Saccharomyces cerevisiae S288C: one gene and its partners. Changing the gene in region 1 together with any one later gene gives a genetic interaction. Each region holds a gene or a part of one and is shown in the gene's direction. Other genes may lie near its edges.

Region 1 (3,860 bases):
TAGGGATAACTCGATCTTGCAAAAATTTATTGTCTAAAAGAATACTCTGAAGTCGATTCCTTACGGACTTGTTTTCCTTTCTGATGTCTTTATTTATCTGAGATAGCGAAAGATAAATATTTTCATCCATCACGGATATACTAAACTGTACTCTGGATCTATATCTCTTTGATAGCCTCGATACCATCCATCAAGAGATCAAAATTTTCAAGCATGCTTTTTTTTTCCTGCATATGAACAATGAATAATGGGCCCAGTCACAGTTAAGCAGTAATAAGAACAAAGCACATAAACATACAACGCATATATGAAGAGCAATAGAGTGGTGGGATGATTTTAGAAGTTCATTTTTGATGAAGATGATAAGATTATGTAATAGCGGCTATGCTAAGCTCCCTTCGGGCATGGAAATCAACAAAAAAGTTGTAACCGTACATAATATGACGGGAAATGCAACAAGCTTTCCAAGAAGTAATGGAAGGCATAGCTAAAGGACTATCTGGCTCGGCCATAAGTTTGAAATTTGTGTATACAGGTATAGGAAACCCTTATACCTACCTAAATCGTCGAAGCTACTGATATATTGCGTATAGTCGATATGCCCAATGTAATTCATATTTCATACTCTTCTCTTGTACAGATTAAGGGCACCTGTTTTATTCTTAGAATATACTACAACCTGCCTACTAATTAACAATGATACTATTAACGGTGCAAAACCGGATGCTCAAATTTAAAGTGATTACTCAGTTATAAACACGCCTGGTGTGAAATTAACGACCATTAATAAGAATAAATATTACTGGCATATTATAATATGCGGTGGAAAAACATAAAATAAGGATTGAGAAATAGTTATCAAGTATAATGGAAGCTGAAGTGCAAGGATTGATAATGTAATAGGATAATGAAACATATAAACGGAATGAGGAATAATCGTAATTTTATTATGTAGAAATATAGATTCCATTTTGAGATTTCTATCCTCGAGGAGAACTTCTAATATATTCTGTGTACATAATATTATATAGCCTTGATCAACAATGCAATCCCAACAATTATCAAATTATTCACCCAATATTCAGTATAATCCATATTTATAGAATATATAGGATAATTATCATCCCCTCAATCAAGTTGATATTCCGTTTTGACAACAGGTCACTTCTGCAAGGTTGCTTATATTAAAATTGTGAATAAGCATGATATTAGACGGACTCATAATTGAATGGTTATCAGTTAATTGACTCTCGGTAGCCAAGTTGGTTTAAGGCGCAAGACTGTAATTTACCACTACGAAATCTTGAGATCGGGCGTTCGACTCGCCCCCGGGAGATATTTTTTTACTTTTGATTACCTTAATTTTTGAAGATTCTCAATTTCATGTATTAGGGATTGCTTTAAGGTAGCTACCAAATGACATTCTCTGTATTACTGTTCTAGTTTTCAACAGTAAAGCTATGATTTGTTAAGTGACTCTAAGCCTGATTTTAAAACGGGAATATTATGCGCTCAGTCACTAATGCATTTGGCAATAGTGGAGAACTTAACGATCAAGTGGATGAAACAGGTTATAGGAAGTTTGATATCCATGAAGGAATTTTGTTTTGCATTGAACTATCAGAGACAATGTTTAAAGAGTCCTCTGATCTAGAGTATAAATCACCATTGTTGGAAATTCTGGAATCACTAGATGAGCTAATGTCACAATTGGTCATAACAAGACCTGGGACAGCTATTGGTTGCTATTTTTATTACTGTAACAGAGAGGATGCCAAGGAAGGTATCTATGAACTTTTTCCATTAAGGGATATAAATGCTACATTTATGAAGAAATTGAACGATCTTTTAGAAGATTTATCATCGGGGAGAATAAGCCTATACGACTATTTTATGTTTCAACAAACTGGGAGTGAAAAGCAAGTGCGCTTATCTGTATTATTCACATTCATGCTTGACACTTTTTTGGAAGAGATTCCGGGTCAAAAGCAATTAAGCAACAAGAGAGTGTTCTTATTCACTGACATTGATAAACCACAAGAGGCGCAAGATATCGATGAACGGGCAAGATTGAGAAGGCTTACAATTGATTTATTTGATAACAAAGTGAATTTTGCAACTTTTTTTATTGGCTATGCCGATAAACCATTTGACAACGAGTTTTATTCGGACATACTGCAGTTGGGTTCACATACAAATGAGAATACTGGTTTGGATTCTGAATTTGATGGTCCAAGTACAAAGCCTATAGATGCTAAATACATCAAGTCCAGAATCCTAAGGAAAAAGGAGGTAAAGAGGATAATGTTTCAATGTCCATTAATCTTGGATGAGAAAACAAATTTTATAGTCGGAGTCAAGGGTTACACTATGTATACCCATGAAAAAGCTGGAGTCAGGTATAAACTTGTTTATGAGCATGAAGATATCAGACAAGAAGCATATTCAAAAAGAAAATTTTTAAATCCTATAACAGGAGAAGACGTTACTGGTAAAACTGTCAAGGTTTATCCTTATGGTGACCTCGATATCAATCTATCAGATAGTCAAGATCAGATAGTAATGGAGGCTTATACTCAAAAAGATGCGTTTTTGAAGATTATTGGGTTCCGTTCATCGAGCAAATCGATACACTATTTCAATAACATAGACAAAAGTTCGTTTATCGTACCAGATGAAGCAAAATATGAAGGTTCGATAAGAACCTTGGCTTCTTTATTAAAAATTTTGAGAAAAAAAGATAAAATTGCAATATTATGGGGGAAGCTTAAATCAAATTCACATCCTTCACTATATACGTTATCACCCTCAAGCGTGAAGGACTACAACGAAGGATTTTATCTCTACAGGGTTCCATTCCTAGACGAAATTCGAAAATTTCCTAGTTTACTATCCTATGATGATGGCTCTGAACATAAACTAGATTATGATAACATGAAAAAAGTAACTCAAAGTATAATGGGATACTTTAACTTGAGGGATGGATATAACCCATCCGATTTCAAAAACCCACTATTACAAAAACATTACAAAGTTTTACATGATTACCTGTTGCAAATTGAAACCACTTTTGACGAAAATGAGACACCTAATACTAAAAAAGACAGAATGATGCGTGAGGACGATTCTTTAAGGAAACTATATTATATACGAAATAAAATTTTAGAATCTGAGAAGTCAGAAGATCCAATCATCCAAAGGCTAAATAAATATGTTAAAATCTGGAATATGTTCTACAAAAAATTTAACGATGATAACATTTCGATAAAAGAAGAAAAGAAGCCCTTTGATAAAAAGCCGAAATTCAATATATAAAGACGATTGAAATCCTTCATATCTATAACGTTACATACAATATTTGGTAGGGTAGGGTATTTGATGTAATATTTATTATTAAGAACTTTTGTCGTGCTAAACGTTGTACTGTACAACTATTAGCAAGATATTTATGCACGACAGTAATCTATAGTTGTAACTCTAAATCACACACCATAGACAAATGATCACTTGCATATTCTCCAACATGTGGTTGTCCATGCTTTGTCATTTCATTACCGGGCGGCATTCTCAAAAAACCTCTGCATTTAACTTTATTTTCTTTTTCAAAATCGCCAAGGGTTTCCACTTCCTGACAATTACTTTGTGGGTCCCATTTCTTTACATAAAATAGATAGTCTAATAAACCACGCCAAGTGTTTGCCCAATTTGAAATTTCAGGCTCACCTCTATCATTATCAAGACCTGCATTTTCTGGATGAACATTCTTATACCCAACAGAGTATAGTGAAATAGCCCTCATATCCAATGAGTTATGGAGTTGTGCCATTTTATCTACGAGTTCAGACTGTTCTTCATTAGCA
Region 2 (7,843 bases), on another chromosome or scaffold:
CTTATTGATTCCAACAAACCTCGCGTACTTACATTCGTTTAGAAGGACCTTTAAGCCAAGATCTCTTACATTTGGATCGCGACTCTCCAGCTCCAGCCAAGAGGATAACAGCCCTATGTAAGACGGCGTATCGTCATTGTCTAGCTTCTTGACGTTGAACGGGGGTATACAGATATCCTGCAACTGCGGTTCAGGAATTTGAAGCGGTTTCCAGTTCTGTATGGATTGTCTTTGGAAATCTTTGAAAACTTGCCCAACTATTTCCTTATATCTTGGCGTTGTTATAGGAAGCAAAACGTAATCATAGTTACTAGGCAGTTCTGGTGAATGACTAGAGACATTTTCTAGGAAACGTGACTTTTTGCTGTGCTGTTTATGATTAAAGCCTGGTTTGACACCAACAAATACGTTGCTATGCATATGCAAACTGAACCCTTTGTATATATAAAAATTATATGTATAAAAGAAGAGGAACGTCCGCACAATTCCACACACACACACACACACACGCTTTCACACACGCAATTTGAAATAGCTCCTATAGGGCTTGGGAATAGGATCACAAGTCACTCGAAATATACCATTTTTTCTATCACACATACACATTGTATAAAGCCATTTGTTTCAAAAAAATATAAAAACACTGCGCAGCGTGCTGTTTCGGGTTCCATTTGTGATTGTTTATTTTTCTTTTGGTTTAGCTCAGTGCAAAACGAGGGCTCGAAGAATTTTCAGATAAAACAGTACTCGAGCCCTGAGATCTGTTTTAGGGTCTAAAAGGCGGGTTATAAAAATATGTCAGGTGATTTTTTTTTCTCGTGGTATGAGATAAATAAAGAATGGAGCTTTTATGCATGAAAGGACAGCGGATGGCAGTAGAGCAGACATCAGTAGCATTCATTACAACTCTGTCGTAAGTTCTTGGAACTGCTGGCCGCGTTGGATACAACTAGATTGACACGCACTTACTCTCGTCTTACAGTACTATGTACCATCACTATCACGCCTTCCAAGGCAGAAAGCTTACTGACCAAGAAAGAGCACGCGTGTTGGAGTTTCAAGATTCCATTCACTATTCTCCGCGGTACTCAGACGATAACTATGAGTACAGGCATGTGATGTTACCTAAGGCCATGCTAAAAGTTATCCCATCTGATTACTTCAATTCGGAAGTGGGGACCCTGCGTATATTAACAGAAGACGAATGGAGAGGCCTCGGCATCACACAGTCTTTGGGGTGGGAACATTATGAATGCCATGCGCCAGAACCACACATTTTGCTATTCAAAAGGCCGCTGAACTACGAGGCCGAGCTGAGGGCAGCGACCGCTGCTGCTCAACAGCAACAGCAACAGCAGCAACAGCAGCAACAACAACAACAGCAACATCAAACACAATCGATTTCGAACGATATGCAAGTTCCACCCCAAATCTCCTAGCTTTGATATACTCTAATTACTGAAATTGAATTCCTTTTCAAGGCTCCATAACTATATGGAGCATACTATGTACTTATCATAATAAAGAATAAACAAACAAGCAAACAAAAAAAAAAAAAACTATGGATCATAGTTTTCACCAACAAGCATTAGAATACAAATAAAATTTATATAGTGAATATCCTTCAAATAAATTTCTTCTTTCCCTTATAAATCAAATAGATGGAACGCACGCTCCAAAACTAGTCAACTAGAAAAAAATACCCGCCGACGGACAATTTTGAAGAGAGATGATTAATGAAGACAAAGTGAGGCTGGACAACAAGAACGACATACACCGCGTAAAGGCCCACAAGACTGCATGGAATCACACGTCAAATATCTTGACGAATTGATATTGGCAATAAAAGACCTGAACTCGGGGGTGGATTCAAAGGTGCAGATTAAAAAAGTGCCCACGGATCCATCTTCTTCTCAGGAGTACGCCAAGAGTTTAAAGATCCTGAACACCCTCATAAGAAACCTAAAAGATCAAAGAAGGAACAATATCATGAAAAATGATACTATATTTTCGAAAACAGTTTCCGCCCTTGCCTTATTGTTGGAGTACAACCCCTTCTTGCTTGTTATGAAGGATTCCAACGGGAACTTTGAGATACAAAGGCTGATAGATGATTTCCTCAACATATCCGTTCTGAACTATGATAATTACCACAGAATATGGTTTATGAGGCGAAAATTAGGCAGCTGGTGCAAAGCATGTGTCGAATTTTACGGAAAACCTGCTAAGTTTCAGCTTACTGCACATTTTGAGAACACCATGAATCTTTACGAACAGGCCTTGACTGAAGTCTTGTTGGGCAAGACTGAGCTTCTCAAATTTTATGACACCTTGAAGGGTCTATACATTCTTTTATACTGGTTCACTTCGGAGTATAGTACTTTTGGGAACTCTATAGCATTCTTAGATTCTTCTTTGGGGTTCACGAAATTTGACTTTAACTTCCAACGATTAATCAGGATTGTTCTTTACGTCTTTGATTCCTGCGAACTAGCAGCACTAGAATATGCCGAAATCCAACTCAAATATATTTCTCTAGTTGTGGACTATGTTTGCAATAGAACAATTTCCACAGCCCTGGATGCCCCAGCGTTAGTTTGTTGTGAACAATTAAAGTTTGTATTGACTACTATGCATCATTTTTTGGATAACAAGTATGGGCTCTTGGATAATGACCCCACTATGGCCAAAGGAATTCTTCGACTATATTCTCTTTGCATTTCTAACGATTTCTCAAAATGCTTTGTAGACCACTTCCCAATTGACCAGTGGGCAGATTTTTCACAAAGTGAACATTTTCCGTTCACGCAGTTGACTAATAAAGCTCTCTCGATTGTATATTTTGATTTGAAAAGAAGGTCCCTACCTGTTGAAGCTTTAAAGTACGATAATAAGTTCAACATCTGGGTATACCAATCGGAGCCGGACTCGAGCTTGAAAAATGTCACTTCTCCCTTTGATGATCGATATAAGCAGCTGGAAAAGCTAAGGTTGCTAGTACTAAAGAAGTTTAACAAGACAGAAAGAGGAACTTTGCTCAAATACCGCGTGAACCAGCTAAGTCCTGGATTTTTTCAAAGAGCTGGAAACGATTTCAAGCTAATTTTAAATGAAGCATCTGTATCCATTCAAACTTGTTTCAAGACAAACAATATAACAAGGCTAACATCATGGACTGTAATTCTCGGACGTCTAGCCTGTCTAGAATCAGAGAAGTTTTCCGGCACTCTGCCAAATTCCACAAAGGATATGGATAATTGGTATGTTTGTCATTTATGCGATATTGAGAAAACTGGCAACCCTTTCGTGCGAATAAATCCAAATAGACCAGAGGCTGCGGGTAAATCAGAAATCTTCAGGATACTTCATTCAAACTTTCTATCTCACCCAAATATAGATGAATTTAGCGAATCTTTGTTAAGTGGCATCTTATTTTCTCTACATAGGATATTTTCACACTTTCAACCTCCAAAACTTACAGATGGAAACGGTCAAATCAATAAGAGCTTTAAACTGGTACAAAAGTGCTTTATGAATTCTAACAGATACCTACGTTTATTAAGTACTAGAATTATACCTTTATTCAATATATCAGACTCTCATAATTCCGAAGATGAACACACTGCCACGCTGATAAAGTTTCTACAATCTCAAAAATTGCCAGTGGTGAAAGAAAATTTAGTCATTGCTTGGACACAATTAACATTGACGACTTCTAATGATGTATTTGATACACTACTTTTGAAACTGATTGATATTTTCAATTCTGATGATTATAGTTTACGAATAATGATGACTTTGCAAATTAAAAATATGGCCAAAATTTTAAAGAAAACACCATATCAATTACTATCGCCTATTTTACCTGTATTACTAAGACAGTTGGGAAAAAACCTCGTGGAAAGAAAAGTTGGCTTTCAAAATTTAATAGAATTATTGGGATATTCTTCAAAAACAATTCTCGATATTTTCCAGAGATATATCATCCCTTATGCAATTATTCAATATAAGAGCGATGTGCTAAGTGAAATTGCTAAGATTATGTGTGATGGCGATACAAGTTTAATTAACCAAATGAAGGTTAATTTACTGAAAAAAAACAGTAGGCAAATATTTGCCGTAGCTTTGGTAAAACACGGATTATTTTCTTTGGATATCTTGGAAACCCTTTTTTTAAATAGGGCTCCAACTTTTGACAAAGGATATATAACTGCATACCTTCCCGATTATAAAACTTTAGCTGAAATAACGAAGCTCTACAAAAACAGCGTTACTAAAGATGCAAGTGACAGCGAGAATGCTAATATGATTTTATGCTCTTTGCGATTTTTAATCACCAATTTTGAAAAAGACAAAAGGCATGGTTCGAAGTACAAAAATATCAATAACTGGACGGATGATCAGGAACAAGCGTTCCAAAAGAAACTACAGGATAATATCTTAGGTATTTTCCAAGTTTTTTCGAGTGACATACATGATGTTGAAGGCCGCACCACTTACTACGAAAAGTTAAGGGTTATCAATGGCATTTCTTTTCTTATCATATATGCCCCCAAAAAATCAATAATTTCCGCATTAGCCCAGATTAGTATTTGTTTGCAAACAGGACTTGGGCTTAAGGAAGTTCGATACGAGGCCTTTAGATGTTGGCATCTGTTAGTTCGCCATCTAAATGATGAAGAACTCTCTACTGTTATAGATAGCTTAATTGCATTCATACTTCAAAAGTGGTCTGAGTTCAACGGAAAACTTCGAAATATAGTGTACAGTATACTGGATACCTTAATCAAAGAGAAATCGGACCTGATTTTGAAATTAAAACCTTACACTACTTTGGCTTTAGTAGGCAAGCCTGAATTAGGTATTTTAGCTCGTGATGGCCAATTTGCAAGAATGGTGAATAAAATAAGAAGTACCACGGACCTTATACCCATATTTGCTAATAACTTGAAAAGTAGTAACAAGTATGTCATAAACCAAAATTTAGACGATATAGAGGTATATCTTCGGAGAAAGCAGACAGAAAGATCGATTGATTTTACACCAAAGAAGGTTGGGCAAACTTCTGATATAACATTAGTTTTGGGTGCTTTATTAGACACTTCTCATAAGTTTAGAAATTTAGACAAGGACCTATGCGAGAAGTGCGCCAAATGTATCAGTATGATTGGTGTTTTAGACGTTACAAAGCATGAGTTTAAAAGAACAACATATTCAGAAAACGAAGTTTATGATTTGAATGATAGTGTTCAAACTATTAAGTTCTTGATATGGGTCATAAATGATATCCTCGTTCCTGCGTTTTGGCAAAGTGAGAATCCCAGCAAGCAATTGTTTGTTGCCCTTGTCATACAGGAATCATTAAAATATTGCGGGCTAAGTTCAGAGTCATGGGATATGAACCATAAAGAATTATATCCAAATGAAGCCAAACTATGGGAAAAGTTTAACTCTGTCTCCAAGACAACCATCTATCCGCTTTTATCTTCCTTGTATCTTGCGCAATCATGGAAAGAATATGTCCCGCTAAAATATCCTTCTAATAACTTCAAGGAAGGATACAAAATTTGGGTGAAAAGGTTTACATTGGATTTATTGAAAACAGGTACAACAGAAAATCATCCATTACACGTGTTTTCCTCTTTGATTAGGGAAGATGATGGCTCACTATCAAATTTTTTGCTACCTTATATTTCTCTGGACATTATTATCAAGGCAGAAAAAGGAACTCCATACGCTGATATTTTAAACGGGATTATTATTGAATTTGACAGCATTTTCACGTGCAATCTGGAAGGAATGAATAACTTGCAAGTGGATTCGTTAAGAATGTGCTATGAATCCATCTTCAGAGTTTTCGAATATTGCAAAAAATGGGCAACTGAGTTTAAACAAAATTACAGTAAACTACACGGCACTTTTATCATTAAAGATACGAAAACAACTAACATGCTTTTGAGAATAGATGAGTTTTTGCGAACAACCCCTTCAGATTTGCTAGCTCAACGCTCCTTAGAGACGGATTCTTTTGAAAGGTCTGCTCTATACCTTGAACAGTGCTATCGACAGAATCCTCACGATAAGAACCAAAATGGACAACTACTGAAAAATTTACAAATCACATACGAAGAAATAGGAGACATTGACTCACTCGATGGTGTACTGAGAACCTTTGCTACAGGAAACTTGGTTTCTAAAATTGAAGAATTGCAATATTCTGAAAACTGGAAACTCGCACAAGACTGCTTTAATGTCCTCGGCAAATTTTCAGATGACCCCAAAACTACAACCAGGATGCTAAAGTCTATGTATGACCACCAATTGTATTCTCAAATAATATCGAACTCTTCGTTCCATTCTTCAGACGGAAAAATTTCTTTGTCTCCAGATGTGAAGGAATGGTACAGCATAGGTCTTGAAGCTGCAAATCTAGAAGGCAATGTTCAAACTTTGAAAAATTGGGTAGAACAAATAGAGAGTTTAAGAAATATTGACGATAGAGAAGTACTTTTGCAGTACAATATTGCGAAAGCTTTAATTGCCATCTCAAACGAGGATCCATTAAGGACTCAAAAATACATCCACAATTCCTTTAGGCTTATCGGAACAAATTTTATAACGTCATCTAAAGAGACGACGCTGCTAAAGAAACAGAATTTATTGATGAAATTACACAGTTTATATGACCTCAGTTTTTTATCTTCTGCGAAAGATAAGTTTGAATACAAAAGTAACACTACCATACTCGATTATCGAATGGAACGTATTGGGGCTGACTTCGTGCCAAATCATTACATATTGTCAATGAGAAAGTCATTTGACCAATTGAAAATGAATGAACAAGCAGACGCTGACTTAGGAAAAACATTCTTCACTTTAGCCCAATTGGCGAGAAACAACGCTAGGCTAGATATAGCCTCCGAATCATTAATGCATTGTTTGGAAAGGCGGTTGCCTCAGGCAGAGTTGGAGTTTGCTGAAATACTATGGAAGCAAGGTGAGAATGATAGAGCCTTAAAGATAGTGCAAGAAATACATGAAAAGTATCAAGAAAATTCCTCGGTTAATGCTCGCGATCGTGCCGCCGTGCTATTAAAGTTTACTGAATGGTTAGACCTTTCGAACAATTCAGCGTCCGAACAAATTATTAAACAATATCAGGATATTTTTCAGATTGATTCTAAATGGGATAAACCATATTACTCTATTGGCTTATACTATAGTAGACTACTTGAGCGCAAAAAAGCAGAGGGTTATATTACTAATGGTCGTTTTGAGTACAGGGCAATATCTTACTTTTTATTGGCATTTGAAAAGAACACTGCTAAAGTAAGAGAAAATTTGCCCAAAGTTATCACGTTTTGGCTAGATATTGCGGCCGCATCAATTTCTGAAGCTCCTGGAAACAGAAAGGAAATGCTGAGTAAGGCTACGGAAGATATATGTAGTCATGTTGAAGAAGCGCTGCAGCATTGTCCCACTTATATTTGGTACTTTGTTTTGACTCAGTTGTTATCTAGGTTATTACATTCTCATCAATCATCGGCCCAGATAATAATGCACATACTGCTAAGTTTGGCTGTTGAATACCCCTCTCATATTTTATGGTATATCACAGCCCTTGTAAATTCCAATTCTTCAAAAAGAGTTCTTCGTGGTAAGCATATTTTAGAAAAGTATAGACAACATTCGCAAAATCCTCATGATCTAGTTTCTAGTGCATTGGATTTAACGAAAGCATTAACTCGTGTCTGTTTGCAAGATGTCAAAAGCATTACAAGTAGATCAGGCAAATCTTTAGAAAAAGACTTCAAATTTGACATGAACGTGGCCCCATCTGCAA
Region 3 (4,114 bases), on another chromosome or scaffold:
AGGTAATCGTAATTCAATGAATCATAGGATACGTTAGACGTCAGAAAACGCTTGATCGTAGCCAGTAGTGGTTTAACATCCATATCTGGAAGGGAGACAACAGTCACAAGATTCAAAGAACATTTCCTTAATAGTGTGTTGATATCTTCAGGCAAGTTATCTTCATTAAGTTCATTTTCTAATTGCGTAAGGAGATTTTCCACGTAATTTGTTTCTTTCTCACTCATTGCTCCTGTTTCGCTGAGTTCTTTTGCGGTGATTATAGTTGTAAACTTGTTTTATTTTTAATCCCGTAATTAAGGTGTTTATATAAACTTACTCTTCAATTTTTCTATATGCATTTGAAACAGAAAAAAAGATATAAAAATACCAGCTATAACAAAAATCCATGTAAATAAAATTACTGTATATTTTTTTATGTAATCTAATCAAAAAAAATTCACGTCTAATACTAGTCATAAATGGAGTTGAAGCCATTAACTACTTATTTTTTATCTTCGTCCTTTTTCTTTTCTAAATGGACATTATTACCATTAAAGGTTGTTGGGTCTTCAGGATCTTCTTGATGATCGTTGTTAACAAATTGGAAAACATTTGGCGAGACAGAACGTGACGTAGTAAGGTTGGTTTCCGATGGGTACCTGGTTCCGCTAGGTGTCAGCATTGGTGATGCATGAGCAGATGATTGAACTGGTTCCCGAACATTGTTGTATTGGAAACAGCTTGACGAAGCAGCTCCAGATAAAGGTGTTGAAGACCTCACTTCGTGACGATTCGGCTTCGATGTTTCCTCACGTTGTGATGTTACTTCAGGATCTTTATCGTTGTGCCACCACGTAGAGAATCCCTTATAAAGACGGCCCAAAAGGCTTGGTCCCTCCATCCCAGTCACAGATAGCCCCGAGTTTTGAGTTTCTAGTGGTTTAAGTAATAATGCAGACCTTGGAGTTAGTTCTAGTGTCTCTAGCGTCTTCAATTCATCAGAATCCTTAAATGTCACTCTGGGAATGCCCCTGTGGAATGAGTACGGGCAGTCTCCATCTGTCCTGTTGACGTCCACCCATTTTCTAACGTCATTTAATGTTTCAGACGAGTTGAACTCATGTTTTAGAGTCTTGCCATCAGTCATCCTGATTTGCAAGACGCATTTGCTGCTGTGCAGTTTTTGTGCGTCTTTTATGTAATCATGAACATCCAATGGCTTATCATCATCAAGGGTTCTGTGATGAGTTTCATCAAGAGCTTTTCTTTCTGCACGGTCTGCCCTAACAAGTCTTATAATTCTTTCTCTTTCCTCCTCAGCCAGCTTTCTTTGTTTCAGTTGTTCACGACGTTGGATCTCTAAGGTAGTCTCAGCAATCCGTTCTCTTGCATTTTTCCTATGGACGTCTCTGGATGACTTTTCTTCTCTAGCCAAACCTGGATTGGTTTCCCTGGACGAACTCTCACCAGCCTTTTTGTCTTTGATGCCTATGCACGCCAGCAACTTCTCCCAATGTCGGTCATCCTCGCCTTGAATAATCAATTCTATCTTTCCAGCACGTATCAAGTATATACTGGGTACAACTACATTAGGAAATACTTGCTCAAATAACTGGAACTGCTCAGTGTCTTTGACCAACCTCAACCAAATACTATGTTCCGCTAAAGTATCTAATGAGACATCATCTCCTTTAAACCAACTTTTCAGCCACTGGTCATCCCGTGCAGTGTTGTAAACGGCCAGCACAACGCCTTCCTTGATGGAATCGTTTATTGCTTCTTCCACAGAATCTCTAAACAGTGCTTCTAACATTTGGTTACGGCTGTTTGGTTTAGCTATCCTTGCTTCTTTGTAAGTGCTTTCAACCTCAACCCAGCTCCCTTTTAAATTTTCAACATTACTACGAGGCCTGCCGAAGTTAATAAAGAGCGGCTTTAAATGTCATTTTAATAATTGAATGGCAAATAAAAACAACTACAGCTTCAAACATAAGAGTATATCATAAGTTGCTGTATATGGGCAGCACGTATTACTATGAGTCTCTCGCAGGTGTCACCTTTACCCCATATCAAGGATGTTGTTTTAGGAGATACAGTAGGCCAAGGCGCATTCGCCTGCGTTAAAAATGCTCATCTTCAAATGGATCCCTCCATTATTCTAGCTGTTAAATTCATTCATGTTCCCACTTGCAAAAAAATGGGACTCAGTGACAAGGATATCACAAAAGAGGTTGTTTTGCAATCGAAGTGTTCTAAGCATCCTAATGTTTTGAGACTTATCGATTGTAATGTCTCTAAAGAATATATGTGGATAATTCTGGAGATGGCAGATGGTGGTGATCTATTTGATAAGATTGAGCCTGACGTTGGAGTTGATTCCGACGTGGCCCAATTTTACTTTCAACAGCTCGTTAGTGCTATTAATTATCTGCATGTAGAATGTGGAGTTGCTCACAGAGACATCAAGCCTGAAAACATCTTACTCGATAAGAACGGAAATCTGAAGCTAGCTGATTTTGGGCTCGCCTCTCAATTTAGGAGGAAAGATGGTACATTACGTGTATCCATGGATCAAAGGGGTTCTCCACCCTACATGGCTCCTGAAGTATTATATTCTGAAGAGGGTTATTACGCAGATCGAACAGATATATGGTCTATTGGCATCCTCTTGTTCGTATTGTTGACTGGTCAAACGCCTTGGGAATTACCTTCATTAGAGAACGAAGATTTCGTCTTTTTTATTGAAAATGATGGAAATTTAAACTGGGGACCCTGGTCAAAGATAGAATTTACTCACTTGAACCTACTCCGAAAAATTTTACAACCTGACCCAAATAAGAGGGTGACATTGAAGGCTTTAAAGTTACATCCTTGGGTATTACGTCGAGCTTCATTTTCTGGGGATGATGGTCTCTGTAATGACCCTGAACTCTTGGCTAAGAAACTGTTTTCTCACTTAAAAGTCTCACTGAGTAACGAAAATTATTTGAAATTCACTCAAGATACAAACTCTAATAATAGGTACATTTCTACTCAGCCAATTGGTAACGAATTGGCTGAGCTTGAACACGACTCAATGCATTTCCAGACAGTTTCGAATACACAACGTGCATTTACCTCGTATGATTCAAATACGAACTATAATAGCGGAACAGGTATGACACAAGAGGCTAAGTGGACGCAATTCATAAGCTATGATATCGCTGCCTTACAGTTTCATTCTGATGAAAATGATTGTAATGAATTAGTAAAACGACATTTACAATTTAATCCGAATAAACTTACCAAGTTCTACACGTTGCAACCTATGGATGTTTTGTTACCGATTTTGGAGAAAGCCTTGAATTTATCACAAATTAGAGTAAAACCCGACCTTTTTGCGAATTTTGAAAGATTGTGCGAATTATTGGGTTATGATAACGTTTTCCCACTTATTATAAATATTAAAACCAAAAGTAATGGGGGTTATCAATTATGCGGTAGCATTTCCATCATAAAGATTGAAGAAGAGTTGAAAAGTGTCGGATTTGAAAGAAAAACTGGTGATCCTTTAGAATGGAGAAGATTGTTCAAGAAAATTTCAACTATCTGTAGGGATATTATCCTAATTCCCAACTGAAAAAAATGGAGACAAAAGAAGGGTTAAGATGCACTGATCAAAAAAAAAAAAAAATTCTTTCTACTTATTATATATCTCTCTCGATTTCTAGTGTGTCATCGTAACTATATATTGTTTCGAGAGATTTTATTATTGTAATTAATTTATTGCCATTTTGATCTATTCTACATACTAACAATCAATTCATATCATTATCCCTGTTTGAGTAATATTCGAGCCTCATCATAAAATCTAATAATTCAATTCTCAAGTTTCTTCTTTCTTCCACAGATATTCCGTTCAAGTCGCCCGGTGTGAACCCTCTCAATCTGGCCACTAACCTTCTCGACTTTTTTGAAAAAAAGTGCACTTTTAATGAAGGTGTGGCTTCCCTAGATGTAGCATCTTCGTTACCATCTCCCCCCAACAAAGGTTCGCCATCTGCTTCTGTGTGGGCTTGGCCTAATTGAATTTCATGGTGTTTTTCTTTTCCACCAATTGTTTTTGGTACGGTGTCTAAGCCATTCTGCGCGT
Region 4 (6,859 bases), on another chromosome or scaffold:
CTTACACTACTTTTAAGAGCTTTAAAGACGAACGAGGAAAGTGCCAAAATGATTCTACTCAGTGACCCCACGATCACTATCAAATCGTACCATTTATGGCCTTCATTCACTGATGAACAATGGATCACTATCGAATCTCAAATGAGAGATTTGATTTTGACTGAGTACGGCAGAAAATACAATGTCAATATATCTGCCTTAACTCAAACGGAAATTAAAGATATTATATTGGGTCAAAATATCAAGGCACCATCTGTGAAGAGACAAAAAATGGCTGAATTAGAAGCTGCCAGGTCAGAAAAGCAGAACGACGAAGAAGCTGCAGGTGCATCAACTGTTATGAAAACTAAAACTATCAATGCGCAAGGTGAGGAGATAGTTGTAGTAGCTTCCGCTGATTACGAAAGTCAAACGTTTAGTTCAAAGAATGAATGGAGAAAATCTGCAATTGCTAATACACTATTATATTTGAGGTTAAAAAACATTTATGTTTCGGCTGATGATTTCGTGGAGGAACAGAATGTTTACGTCCTTCCAAAAAATTTATTAAAGAAGTTTATTGAGATATCCGATGTGAAAATCCAGGTGGCGGCCTTTATTTATGGTATGTCAGCAAAAGATCATCCGAAGGTGAAAGAAATCAAGACTGTTGTGCTGGTACCTCAATTAGGCCACGTAGGATCCGTTCAGATAAGCAACATCCCTGACATCGGAGACCTTCCGGATACTGAAGGCCTTGAACTACTCGGTTGGATCCATACCCAGACAGAAGAACTTAAATTCATGGCTGCGTCTGAAGTAGCAACTCATTCTAAACTTTTTGCGGATAAGAAAAGAGACTGCATTGATATTTCAATTTTTTCCACCCCGGGATCAGTATCATTAAGCGCTTATAACCTGACCGACGAAGGTTACCAATGGGGTGAAGAAAATAAGGATATAATGAACGTGCTATCGGAAGGGTTTGAGCCTACTTTCAGCACGCATGCCCAATTACTTCTCTCTGACCGTATCACAGGTAATTTTATAATTCCATCTGGAAACGTTTGGAACTACACATTTATGGGAACAGCATTTAACCAAGAAGGTGACTACAATTTTAAATACGGCATTCCTTTGGAATTCTATAATGAGATGCATCGTCCAGTACACTTTTTACAGTTTAGCGAATTGGCGGGGGACGAAGAGTTAGAGGCCGAACAAATCGATGTATTTAGCTGAATATATTCCCCAATAAACTGGAATCTGTTATTTCATAGATATATATGTAAGTATAAGTTTGTATGTATAATATTCAACGCATTTTTTATGCCCGTCGTAGTTGCTACCTACCACACGATGATGTATTATAATTTCGGAACTACTTCAAAGCTACGCTTTCCGCACTATGAAAAGCTATAAGTATGTGAAAATTGGTCATTGACTGTGATTCTATTTCAAAAAGTAACCAAAGGAGATAGACATCGTTCGGACAGAAAATGGTCCGTTGTCACTCCCATTCCATTATGTCCTTCATATAGAAATTGGATATTCTTGTTTTCATTTCGCGCAATAAAGCAATTCCGTGCGGCAGAAAGAACTTATATATATTTAACTGATCTTACGCTATTTATGGCAAAACTTGTGTTACATTTTTGAAGATAAAGTTACAATCATTACGGCAGCCTCAAAACAAAATTGGGAGAAAACATACTCAAGTGAGTACTCATTTTGTGCAAGCAAACACTGACAATTGAAGAGATCGTCAGGATGCCCGGAACGCCACAGAAGAACAAGAGGTCTGCGAGTATATCTGTTTCACCTGCGAAGAAGACAGAGGAAAAAGAAATAATACAAAATGATTCAAAGGCGATATTATCTAAGCAAACTAAGAGGAAAAAAAAGTATGCTTTTGCTCCTATAAATAACTTAAATGGGAAGAACACCAAGGTATCCAATGCAAGTGTCCTAAAGTCAATAGCCGTTTCACAAGTACGAAATACATCAAGAACAAAAGATATAAACAAAGCAGTTAGCAAGAGCGTAAAGCAATTACCAAATTCACAAGTTAAACCGAAACGGGAAATGTCTAATTTGAGTAGGCATCACGATTTCACTCAAGACGAGGACGGCCCCATGGAAGAAGTAATATGGAAATATTCACCTTTACAACGAGATATGTCCGACAAAACAACAAGCGCTGCCGAATACTCTGATGACTACGAAGATGTCCAAAATCCCTCTTCTACACCTATAGTCCCTAATCGACTGAAAACTGTTCTTAGTTTCACAAATATCCAAGTACCCAACGCTGACGTAAATCAACTCATTCAAGAAAATGGAAATGAGCAAGTGCGTCCTAAACCAGCAGAAATATCTACCAGGGAGTCTCTCCGTAATATAGATGATATTCTCGATGATATAGAGGGCGATTTAACTATAAAACCGACGATAACGAAATTCAGCGATTTGCCATCTTCACCCATCAAGGCACCCAACGTTGAAAAAAAAGCAGAGGTGAATGCAGAAGAAGTAGATAAAATGGATTCAACAGGAGATAGCAACGATGGCGATGACTCTTTGATAGATATTTTAACTCAAAAGTATGTTGAGAAACGCAAGAGTGAGAGTCAGATAACAATTCAAGGCAACACCAATCAAAAAAGTGGAGCCCAGGAAAGTTGTGGGAAGAATGATAACACAAAATCGAGAGGAGAAATTGAAGATCATGAAAATGTAGACAATCAAGCCAAAACAGGCAATGCATTTTATGAGAATGAAGAAGACAGTAATTGCCAAAGAATTAAAAAAAATGAAAAAATAGAATACAATTCTTCAGACGAATTTTCAGACGATTCACTAATTGAACTATTGAACGAAACTCAAACACAAGTGGAACCTAACACTATTGAACAAGATTTAGACAAAGTGGAGAAAATGGTCTCTGACGATTTGAGAATTGCTACTGATTCCACTTTATCCGCATATGCTCTCAGAGCTAAGTCTGGTGCTCCAAGAGACGGCGTAGTACGATTAGTAATAGTAAGCTTACGTAGTGTTGAATTGCCAAAAATTGGAACGCAAAAAATACTAGAGTGTATAGACGGCAAAGGCGAACAAAGTTCTGTTGTCGTTCGACATCCTTGGGTATATTTGGAATTTGAGGTTGGGGATGTAATACATATTATAGAAGGGAAAAATATTGAAAACAAACGGCTTCTTTCTGACGACAAAAACCCTAAAACTCAACTGGCTAACGACAACCTGTTGGTGCTAAACCCTGATGTATTATTTTCGGCAACATCAGTCGGAAGTTCAGTAGGTTGTTTAAGACGTTCAATTCTGCAAATGCAATTTCAAGATCCCCGCGGAGAACCAAGCCTTGTCATGACTTTAGGCAATATCGTACACGAGTTATTGCAAGACTCAATCAAATACAAGCTCTCGCATAATAAAATTTCTATGGAAATCATAATACAAAAGCTGGATTCTTTGTTAGAAACTTATTCTTTTTCAATTATCATTTGTAATGAAGAAATCCAGTACGTTAAAGAATTAGTTATGAAAGAACATGCTGAAAACATTTTGTACTTCGTCAATAAATTTGTTTCGAAAAGTAACTATGGTTGCTACACATCAATTTCCGGAACAAGAAGAACACAGCCAATTTCTATATCCAATGTGATTGATATTGAAGAAAACATTTGGTCTCCAATATATGGTCTTAAAGGGTTCCTAGATGCAACTGTTGAAGCTAATGTTGAAAACAATAAAAAACACATCGTTCCTTTAGAAGTGAAAACTGGAAAATCCAGAAGCGTTTCATACGAGGTTCAAGGCCTTATTTATACACTTCTGTTAAATGATCGCTATGAGATACCGATAGAGTTTTTTCTTCTTTATTTTACGAGGGATAAAAATATGACAAAGTTCCCTTCTGTTCTGCACTCCATTAAACATATTCTCATGTCCCGAAATAGAATGAGTATGAATTTTAAGCATCAACTCCAAGAGGTTTTCGGACAGGCTCAATCAAGGTTTGAATTACCACCCTTACTGCGCGATTCATCTTGTGATTCATGTTTCATCAAAGAATCATGCATGGTGTTGAATAAGCTACTAGAGGACGGGACACCAGAAGAAAGTGGCCTGGTAGAAGGTGAGTTTGAAATTTTGACAAACCATTTGTCGCAAAATCTCGCCAACTACAAAGAGTTTTTTACAAAATATAATGATCTAATAACTAAGGAGGAGTCAAGTATAACATGTGTAAATAAAGAACTTTTCTTATTGGATGGTTCCACAAGAGAATCCAGAAGTGGAAGGTGCCTTTCTGGCTTGGTTGTGTCAGAGGTGGTTGAACATGAAAAAACAGAGGGAGCGTATATATATTGCTTCTCAAGACGTAGAAATGATAATAACTCGCAGTCGATGTTATCATCTCAAATTGCTGCTAATGACTTTGTTATTATTAGTGATGAGGAGGGTCATTTTTGCTTGTGCCAAGGTCGTGTACAATTTATAAATCCCGCTAAAATTGGTATCTCCGTAAAACGAAAGTTATTAAACAATAGGCTTCTAGATAAGGAAAAAGGAGTCACTACCATCCAAAGTGTGGTCGAATCAGAGCTAGAACAATCCAGTCTCATAGCTACCCAAAATTTGGTCACATATAGAATCGACAAAAATGATATCCAACAGAGTTTGTCTTTAGCGCGATTTAATCTTTTAAGCTTGTTTTTACCAGCTGTTTCACCTGGCGTGGATATTGTTGACGAAAGGAGTAAATTATGTCGGAAGACAAAGAGATCTGATGGAGGTAATGAAATACTGCGATCACTTTTAGTTGATAATAGAGCACCTAAGTTTAGAGATGCAAATGATGATCCCGTCATTCCGTATAAGCTTTCAAAGGATACAACATTGAACTTGAATCAAAAAGAAGCAATAGACAAAGTAATGAGGGCCGAAGATTATGCATTGATATTGGGAATGCCAGGGACTGGTAAGACTACTGTTATCGCAGAAATTATTAAAATTCTCGTTTCCGAGGGGAAACGCGTGCTTTTGACATCATACACACATTCAGCAGTGGATAATATTTTAATAAAATTGAGGAACACCAACATTAGCATAATGAGATTGGGAATGAAACATAAGGTCCATCCTGACACGCAAAAATATGTCCCGAATTACGCGTCAGTGAAAAGTTATAACGATTATTTGTCCAAAATTAACAGCACCTCTGTTGTTGCTACCACCTGCTTAGGAATTAACGATATACTATTTACACTAAATGAAAAGGATTTTGATTATGTGATTTTGGACGAGGCAAGTCAAATTTCAATGCCTGTCGCTTTGGGACCTCTGCGGTATGGAAATAGGTTTATTATGGTAGGAGATCATTACCAGCTACCGCCATTAGTTAAAAATGACGCAGCTCGATTAGGTGGGTTAGAAGAGTCACTGTTCAAGACTTTCTGTGAAAAGCATCCGGAAAGCGTTGCAGAACTGACTTTACAGTACCGTATGTGCGGCGATATTGTAACTTTGTCTAATTTCCTAATTTATGATAATAAATTAAAATGCGGGAATAACGAAGTTTTTGCTCAATCTTTAGAGTTACCAATGCCTGAGGCCTTGTCGCGCTATAGGAATGAATCGGCTAACTCTAAGCAGTGGCTTGAGGATATACTAGAGCCTACAAGAAAAGTGGTATTTTTAAATTACGATAACTGCCCGGATATTATCGAACAAAGCGAAAAGGATAACATTACGAATCACGGGGAGGCAGAATTGACTCTACAATGTGTGGAAGGAATGTTATTGAGCGGCGTACCATGCGAAGATATTGGTGTAATGACGTTATACAGAGCACAGTTAAGATTACTGAAGAAGATATTCAACAAAAATGTGTATGACGGGCTAGAGATCTTGACTGCTGATCAGTTTCAAGGTCGTGACAAAAAGTGCATTATTATTTCCATGGTTAGAAGAAATTCTCAATTAAATGGAGGAGCGCTGCTGAAAGAGCTAAGAAGAGTCAATGTTGCCATGACAAGGGCCAAATCCAAGCTGATCATTATAGGTTCAAAAAGTACAATCGGCTCTGTTCCTGAAATAAAATCGTTCGTGAACCTGTTAGAAGAGCGTAATTGGGTCTATACAATGTGCAAGGATGCACTCTACAAATACAAATTTCCCGACAGATCAAACGCTATTGATGAGGCACGCAAAGGTTGTGGAAAAAGAACAGGTGCCAAACCCATCACATCAAAGTCTAAATTCGTAAGCGATAAACCTATCATAAAGGAAATTCTACAAGAGTATGAAAGTTGACAGGGGGAATAAGAAGAGCTTCTCCATAACAGGAAAGCTATCACAGCATAAAATATCTATGTCATTTTATAAAGTTTGGTATATATAACACGTAATATTAGCATCTGAGGTTCGAAAGCTCGCATGTGTGTCTTTTCTAAAAAGTTTTCGTTTGAACTTTTCCAAAAGCTTCCTCATTAACGAACCAGGATGTTTTTTCACCAAATAATTTGTTAACCAATGCGGTTGGCAATTGATCGTTTTTCAAGTCAAAGATCTCATGCATTATATTTTGTTTGGAACTGCCCTCAGCCACAAAACACAGGGCTTTGGCGTCTTTCAACACAGGCAGAGTGAAGGTGATTCTGTCACTTGGAGGCTTGGGAGAATCGTGGCACCAAGCAACTCTTTTGGTTGTTTCGTTCAGCAAGTACCTATGTGTTTCTCCAGGGAATAAGGAACAAGTGTGTCCATCAGGACCACAGCCCAACAGTACCAAATCAAGCACTTGAGGTACGATACGCTCGTACTCTGCAGCAATTTTGTTGTTAGATTCAGCATC

The links.
Region 2: of YKU70 (region 1) and MEC1, a mutation in one rescues a mutant of the other (synthetic rescue), as found in Saccharomyces cerevisiae (3 studies listed by BioGRID).
Region 3: of YKU70 (region 1) and CHK1, a mutation in one rescues a mutant of the other (synthetic rescue), as found in Saccharomyces cerevisiae (5 studies listed by BioGRID).
Region 4: of YKU70 (region 1) and DNA2, a mutation in one rescues a mutant of the other (synthetic rescue), as found in Saccharomyces cerevisiae (4 studies listed by BioGRID, with this or other methods).

What each region holds. Positions count from the first base shown.
Region 1 is NC_001145.3:836,681-840,540, forward strand, and holds YKU70 (ATP-dependent DNA helicase YKU70), read left to right. Parts: upstream 1-1,506; coding exon 1,507-3,315; downstream 3,316-3,860. Other genes in the region: RIT1 (tRNA A64-2'-O-ribosylphosphate transferase), read right to left, coding at 1-187; NGL2 (RNA exonuclease), read right to left, coding at 3,464-3,860. UniProt on the Saccharomyces cerevisiae protein: Single-stranded DNA-dependent ATP-dependent helicase. Involved in non-homologous end joining (NHEJ) DNA double strand break repair. DNA-binding is sequence-independent but has a high affinity to nicks in double-stranded DNA and to the ends of duplex DNA.
Region 2 is NC_001134.8:503,868-511,710, forward strand, and holds the start of MEC1 (protein kinase MEC1), read left to right. Parts: upstream 1-1,800; coding exon 1,801-7,843. Other genes in the region: HSL7 (protein arginine N-methyltransferase), read right to left, coding at 1-420; cyclin-dependent protein kinase regulatory subunit CKS1, read left to right, coding at 987-1,439. UniProt on the Saccharomyces cerevisiae protein: Serine/threonine protein kinase which activates checkpoint signaling upon genotoxic stresses such as ionizing radiation (IR), ultraviolet light (UV), or DNA replication stalling, thereby acting as a DNA damage sensor.
Region 3 is NC_001134.8:747,577-751,690, forward strand, and holds CHK1 (serine/threonine protein kinase CHK1), read left to right. Parts: upstream 1-2,017; coding exon 2,018-3,601; downstream 3,602-4,114. Other genes in the region: HSM3 (Hsm3p), read right to left, coding at 1-227; UBX7 (Ubx7p), read right to left, coding at 485-1,795; DNA-binding protein RIF1, read right to left, coding at 3,780-4,114. UniProt on the Saccharomyces cerevisiae protein: Serine/threonine-protein kinase which is required for checkpoint-mediated cell cycle arrest and activation of DNA repair in response to the presence of DNA damage or unreplicated DNA.
Region 4 is NC_001140.6:424,069-430,927, reverse strand, and holds DNA2 (bifunctional ATP-dependent DNA helicase/ssDNA endodeoxyribonuclease DNA2), read left to right. Parts: upstream 1-1,749; coding exon 1,750-6,318; downstream 6,319-6,859. Other genes in the region: U4/U6-U5 snRNP complex subunit PRP8, read left to right, coding at 1-1,221; 6-phosphogluconolactonase SOL3, read right to left, coding at 6,455-6,859. UniProt on the Saccharomyces cerevisiae protein: Key enzyme involved in DNA replication and DNA repair.